Linked DNA regions of Daphnia pulex. The protein of the gene in region 1 binds, or shares a complex with, the protein of each later gene. Links are inferred from orthologs where the notes say so. Each region holds a gene or a part of one and is shown on either strand. Other genes may lie near its edges.

Region 1 (3,822 bases):
GACAAGTTTAGGTAATTCAAGTCCCCATTCACGGGTCAGCAGTTGAAAAATATGGTCGGTGCCTGAATCAAAGCCCAGCCGGATGAATTGAGCTTTATTGGGATGTGGGCCGCCCAAGAAATCGATGGTGCCATAAGAGTCGGTTGGGCTGCTGACAGTATGATGGGCAGGGGACCAAACTTCTTCCGACACGCCAACATTTTTGATTCCGTGAGTCTTGTGATACGTCCACGTTCGGCCGCAAGTACACAGTGGGCCTTTGTCGGAGCTGCAAACGTATCTGGAGCATTCTCGCTTGCAAAATGTTGATTCTATCCAGCCTGGATGACCCGGAGGAATCGCAAAAACGACGCCACTTGCAGACGTTACAGCCAGTTGATTTTCCTCTATATGGGTAAAAGAAATAAAAATGGTTTACTTATTTAACAAAGTTTTAGCATTAAATTAGAGAATTTCATGTGTAAAAATTAAATACAAAAAAAGCGGCATTTTGAAAACAACTTACCAATCATGGCCGAACGTGTTTGGACTCAGTCATGAGAAACTATAGACTACCTTAGAATCTTAAATTCAAGTGCACCCGTTTCACCAGCATTGAACTAGTTTTAAGGTACGTACACAACAAACTGACATGCAGTGATAAGTAGTTTTGACGAAGGTCGAACCTTAAAAACAATCACACAAGATGAAGCAATAACATCGTATGTAGCAATATTTGGACTTCAGATTAGAAGTCTTGGATTAACTCATACTTGGCTTTTCACAAAAGGATCGGTCGACGTTACCGTCTGGGAAAAGTCAAGGAACGGTATGAAATTTCACTACAAGTCTGGAAAGAATGAGCTTCACTGAGATGAGAGAGCAATTATTAAAGAGGACTTTACACGATAGCGGCAATAAAGAGGTTGTTGATCCTCGATAAGTTGTATGTTATCAACAAATTAATCCTGCATTTGCGCATTCTTTGCATTCATATCACATGTAACCGATTGCATCGCGGTGATATCAAGTAGCATTAGAGACCCCGACACACTCACTAATAAAACGTTATTGAAAATGTCGAAAACGAAACTACAAGGTTAACTTTAACTATACCAAGATAATTCAGTCAAGTATGAAATCCGAATGTAAATAAAACCGATAAAATGTTACCTTCTACAGCTGAACACTTTTAACATTTTCCATTTGAGACGAAGAAGTATCGCGGCGGCAATAATGCAAGGCCATTCAAAAATAAGGCATGAAAATATGAATGCAAAATCTCTTGTTCTCAGCATCCTGCACTCACAATCGTAATCGCAATATACCGCGTTTAGATTTTACAGACCCATAGGAATTAGGAAATAGATTTTGGATTTTTGAATTTTTTTACCCGACGGTTGGAATAAAGAAGCAATCTGACAACTACACAAATGTTGCAGAAGATTCTTGAGAAAATTAAAAATATCAAGAAAAATGGCTGCCTCCAGATATGTCACGAGTTTCGTAAAGTTATCTCAAATAAGTGGTACAAAATTGACTTGTGGAAATTTTCACAGACTAGTGACAATTCCCCAAAATGTGCTGTGTCAACCAAAGCAAATAAGTAACATTCTCTTAGCTACCAGGCACTTACAGTTTAGGTGTTACAGCCAAAAGTCCGACAGCAGCAACGAGACACAGACGACGACGGCGAACAAACCGGCTGCAGCTAGTCCAATATTAGGTTCATTTCAAGGTATGGGAATTGCAGGAGAGGTTTTAAAGTCCCAAAATGAAACCGAAGGAAAGCTGAAGTCTTCTCCACCTGGCCAACAACAACAAAACAACAGTGAAGAAGATGAAGAAGCCAAAAAGAAAAAGGAAGCAGAGGCTAGTTGGAGAACTATGAAATACACACTTATTTTCTTTGGAGTAACACTAAGCGGCCTAAGTGGTTACATTGTTGGCACATGGGGAGCACCAGAGAGAGATGAAGAGGGCAATGTGATAGAAGACCAATTCAGCTCAAAACCTCTGGCACTACAATATATCCTTAGGTCATGGAATGCCATAATGAACTATAGTCAAGTAAGCATCTCTGACTGTCAGATTTTTAAAACATTTCAATTAATTTTAATATTGTTTTTGGCTTTCTTTTCAGATGATTAGAGACCCTTCAAGAGATAAACTTTTACCTGATCCTCTGAAAGAGCCATATTATCAGCCTCCTTACACATTAATCTTGGAAATGACTGGTGTTCTAGTCCACCCAGATTGGACAGTAATTAATCAGTTGAACTGTATGCATTTCAAATGAAACATCATAATCATTTGCTCTCTCTCTTAATTTCAGTATCAAACTGGTTGGAGGTTTAAGAAGAGGCCAGGAATAGATTTTTTTTTGGCACAAGTGGGTCCACCCGCATTTGAAGTGGTTGTCTACACGGCTGAACAAGCCTTTGTAAGTACCATTTTTAAATTTCACGTTCTCGGTACAAAATAATTAAATTTCTTTACCTCTTTAGACGGCCTTTCCCATATTAGACGCCTTGGATCCCAACGGTTACATCATGTACCGACTCTTCCGCGACGCTACTCGGTATGTTGATGGTCATCACGTGAAAGATCTTGACTGCATCAATCGCGATCCATCAAAAGTGATTGTCCTCGATTGGAACACCCAGTCAGTCAAATCGCATCCTCGTAATGCACTTAGAATTAAAGAATGGAAGGGTAACGATGATGACAGGACCCTTGTCGACTTGGCTCTACTATTGAAAAGTAAATGTCCTTCTAAGAAATAGTATGAAAAAAATACTAATGAAGTAACGCATTTTACTGGTGAATAGCAATTGCTACGTCAGAAGTCCAAGATGTGCGAGAAGTGCTGGATTTCTACAACCAATTCGACGATCCTATCGAAGCATTTCGGGAAAATCAACGGAAACTTCAAGTAAGTGTAAATCCATCATCCAATTCTTAAATTTGTTTTTACCCAATTTTGTTGCTGTGCAGGAACAACAGGAACTGATGGAACGAATGAATCAAGAGAAACAAATTCTACCAGCTACATCTGTTGCCCGTGGTCTATTTGGTCGGCGATTTTGATTCAGCAAGTCTCGTTTCTAGTATATTAATTCGAATAAATCACCGATCGAAAGTTTCTGAAAGAAAAAAAAATACTCTTATCATTGGGTCGAGGCACAGCCAAGAACGGGAAAACATTTTGTCCCATATTTTATACAGGATGTCAACCGTCCATATAAAGCGTCGTCGATACCTACTGTCTCGGTCGTTTTCAAGTTCTTTACTCTTTTGAGCAATTGTTACACTTCAGTTTGCGCGGTAGATGGGTTCACATTCCTTCAAGTGTTGAATAGAATCTGTAAATATTCCAGTGAACTCAATCGCAATAGTTTAAACAAATACTTTACCTTCGTTGGACTAAATAAAATGCTTCGACGGTAATTTACACTTAGATTAGTTGTTGCAATACAATTGAAGATAGAAACTTAAATACCGTATCGTATGGGAGTATTTAGGTAAAATATTAGGTGCTGGATTGATATTCCTAGACTGCATTGAATTATTAGTCGTCAAATAAATGGATTAAAGCTTTGGACCGGTAATCGACTTAAAAAGATTGCAAACCATTTGAAAATCACTTGTTTTATTCCTTCAAGGAACAGTCAAGAAAAAATTGTGCAGCATACGCAAAACGTTTTTATTGATTCTCATGTCGGATAACGCGTCACTCGTCCATAGCATCGTCATTTTCGATACTGTCTCGCTTCCGTTTCCAAGTGCTTTGCTCCCTTGAGCACTGACCATTGTTTGTTACACTCCAGTTTGCTTTGTAGA
Region 2 (3,208 bases), on another chromosome or scaffold:
TTTCAGGTAGAACATTTTACAGCCAATTCAGTAAAGGCTTTACATTCCGTATGCCCCTCATTTTCCAGACTGCACAGACAAGGTAGATCCAGCCACTTGTTTCACCATTGTTGAAACATCACTCATAGTTGACAGGACGTGCCGGAATATACCGTCAGGTTGGTTTCTACGGACCATTGCCGATTTTTTAAACGGTTGAGGCGGGATAAAACACCATCCATTTTGCAAATTTCTGGTTCTCGATTGATTTTGTCGTTTCTTCCGCCTAGTTAGTTCTATTGGTTCCCTGCGTGATTATTTCAATTTCATTAGGTCTCTCAAAAGTTGTCTTTCGGACAAAATTGCGCATCTTACCTGAATACTTTATTGACGCAGTCAGGTGTCTGGCGATAACAGCTTATAAAACCAACGTCAAAATAGATGAAACCCACTGGAACACTAGCTGGGTCATTCGCCGCATTTAGCAAGCATTGACGAAATCGGTCGTCGCAATCGCAATGGGACCTTTAAAGAAAAGTTTGGATTTTTATTAGAACTACAGTGAACAAAACATTTACTGTAGGAAAACGTACTTAGTGAAGACTGAGGTGTTGCACAAACCATATTTGCAAGTTCCAGGCTTCATAGTGTCTTGACAAAAATCGTGATCTCGACAACACATGTCTGTGGCGGCATGTGGTCCTAGATCTTTAAAATTATTCGCAACGTCTCCTGTTCCACACCATTTGGTGCCTGTTTGGGTATCAAACGAACTGTTATTTGAAATTCAATTGGACTAATAATGTATTTTTTTTTTTCATTTTGTTTACCTGGGTAAATGAAATCTATCTGATTGTTGGCAGTGGTCGGCTTCTGATTGAGAGTGAGCAAACGCTGTTGACAATCAGCGGCAATTGTCAACCATTCTTGTTGATTGATTGTTCGGAGTCTTGGACCGTCCGGTAGATTTTCAATAACCTGTATGGGGTTACTAAAAAAAGAACTTTCCCTTGAGGCGTTGTGAGGGTTGGAATCGTGAAGGTTAACACGTACCTATGGCCGTAGATTCGACAAGGTTCGTTGGGGTCACTGTTCACGAGCACAGCCCTTCTGCCACGCGGATGCCCATCTAGAACAAATAATTCGTTTGATCCTGTGGAATTGGAAACAAGCGCAACAATTGCTTGCAAAAGAGACAAGACTATGATGAGAATCATATTTTAGTTTGTTTTCCTCCTAAATCAATACTGCGTTGTGAGACCACTGAATATTCGGCGACGACTGTTGAACACTTAAAAAATTGGTCTCCGTTGTCAAGTCGTCCAGCTTATTGTAGGGAGCATGGATGACCTGCTTCTGTTCGTGTCGCTTTCTGTGGGTACACTGTCTTGGCTTTATTTCATCCTCTCTTGGGAAACTTTTTTAGTACTACTCTCCCTTTAGTCTACGAAACTTTAGGTTTAAAATGTAGCTACCTGGTTTTTTTTCCGTTCCCTAATAACGAAGAAGGGGGTTTCAAGCAGTTTCAAGTTTAAATCCCAAATATGCGATACTTACATACTTTACTTTCATTTTCTTTTCCCCAAAAATGCTCACAAAGGTTAAAAGTAAAATCTTGAGCTATTGCGTAATTATTGCGCTGTTTTTTCACCTTACGTATGTTTCCGATGATCCAGTAGTAGTTTAATACTAAAGAGTTTATCTGGTTGTTTATCGATCTAATGTTTTTTATATATTTTTTTTTTTTTTTTTTTTTTTTTGGGGGGGGGGGGGAAACGCCGAAACGGTAGTTGTTAAAAAATAATCTGGCAACAGAGAAGTTGATTCTTGCAGACGATCCACGTTTCCCAAACGACAGGTCCGGCCGGTGCTGGTTTCATAATATTTTCTAACCATTTTGAAGTAATTTTTCATAAAAATGGACCCAGGACAGAATGACTTAAACTCATCAGGTAGATTAGAAGTTAAATTTTAGTATTTATCACTTTTGTCATAATTTAAAATATCGAATTTTCAGTGTATTCTAACAGAAACTTGGCCCCCCTTTCACCGTATCTGAACTTCGATCCATCATACTTGCAGAGTAGTCAACCAGAATTCATCTTTCCCGAAGGAGCTAGTCGCCATAGAGGACGTTTTGAATTAGCATTTTCTTCGATAGGTGGGATGTGCATGATCGGTGGAGGTATTGGAGGTGTTACTGGTCTTGTGAGAGGAATCAAAGACACAGCAGTAGCCGGTCACACTGGAAAGCTTCGAAGAACACAGTACTTATTCAATATCTTATCCATGTATTTAACCTATTGATGAAATATTTAAATTTCAGATTGATCAACTATGTTATGAAGCAAGGAGCTGGAACAGCAAATACTCTTGGTGTTGTTGCTGTGATGTACAGTGCTTTTGGAGTTGGCCTTAACTGGATAAGGGATACTGAGGATGAAATCAATACATTAGCTGCTGCCACTGCTACTGGTTTATTATATAAATCAACTTCAGGTCTGAAAAGCTGCATGAAAGGTGGAGCAGGTGGTCTTGCTCTAGCTTTGGCATATTGTGCATTCACCTCAAGAGAAAAACTTACTAGCTGGACTAGCAACTGAATTTTAGGTTGTTTGAATCATACCTATGTCAACGTCACCTAGTGTTTACTGTAAAGTTCTCCAATAAACGTTAGTTTTTTTTGTTATCATCGAGTGACAAATATTTAAGGAAAAATCTATTGGCCCCCGGATTTCGGGGGCCAATAGCCAAAATTGCTATTGGCCCCTGCCGCTAGGGGGACACTGGAAAAGGATCGCGCCTCACAGCAGTCTTTTGTTTTTGAAGTCACTGCCTGTGCCTTGGGTACTACGGGGAAGGGCCGCGCCTAGTACCAGCAGCCGGCCGTGTTGTTGACAAGTGATAGTTCTTCGTCATGTCTTTTTCATTGGAATTTTCATGTCTTTTTTATTGACATTTTTAAATGTAATTCTCTACAGGTAGTGTAAAAAAGACATGCAAGACCTTACTGGAGTAAATACCATTGAAGTGTGCAGTCTTGTCTTGTTAATCCAATTATGCTTACGGTGAAAATGGAAGTCCACCTAAAAATTCATCTCAAATGCCAATTGCTGATGTTTGAGGTATGGTTAGATCCACACTGTTCATTTTTATATAAATTCTGTAATTTATATTTGTCTTTAGGTTGAAAGATAGAAGATCTCACCAAAGCAAGTGATGGAGGAAT

The links.
Region 2: mitochondrial import inner membrane translocase subunit TIM50-C-like (region 1) and mitochondrial import inner membrane translocase subunit Tim23-like share a complex: the UniProt entries of both Homo sapiens proteins name them as parts of the TIM23 complex. The link is inferred for Daphnia pulex from reciprocal best matches to the Homo sapiens genes TIMM50 and TIMM23.

The regions. Positions count from the first base shown.
Region 1 is NC_060024.1:13,320,111-13,323,932, reverse strand, and holds mitochondrial import inner membrane translocase subunit TIM50-C-like, read left to right. Parts: upstream 1-1,411; 5' UTR 1,412-1,455; coding exon 1,456-2,049; intron 2,050-2,122; coding exon 2,123-2,242; intron 2,243-2,314; coding exon 2,315-2,422; intron 2,423-2,486; coding exon 2,487-2,742; intron 2,743-2,810; coding exon 2,811-2,914; intron 2,915-2,976; coding exon 2,977-3,069; 3' UTR 3,070-3,124; downstream 3,125-3,822. Other genes in the region: transient receptor potential cation channel trpm-like, read right to left, coding at 1-386, 506-512; serine/threonine/tyrosine-interacting protein B-like, read right to left, coding at 3,713-3,822. UniProt on the Homo sapiens protein: Essential component of the TIM23 complex, a complex that mediates the translocation of transit peptide-containing proteins across the mitochondrial inner membrane. Has some phosphatase activity in vitro; however such activity may not be relevant in vivo.
Region 2 is NC_060025.1:1,870,846-1,874,053, forward strand, and holds mitochondrial import inner membrane translocase subunit Tim23-like, read left to right. Parts: upstream 1-1,773; 5' UTR 1,774-1,897; coding exon 1,898-1,931; intron 1,932-1,996; coding exon 1,997-2,246; intron 2,247-2,305; coding exon 2,306-2,582; 3' UTR 2,583-2,668; downstream 2,669-3,208. Other genes in the region: phospholipase A2-like, read right to left, coding at 58-286, 355-504, 573-732, 810-970, 1,033-1,196. UniProt on the Homo sapiens protein: Essential component of the TIM23 complex, a complex that mediates the translocation of transit peptide-containing proteins across the mitochondrial inner membrane.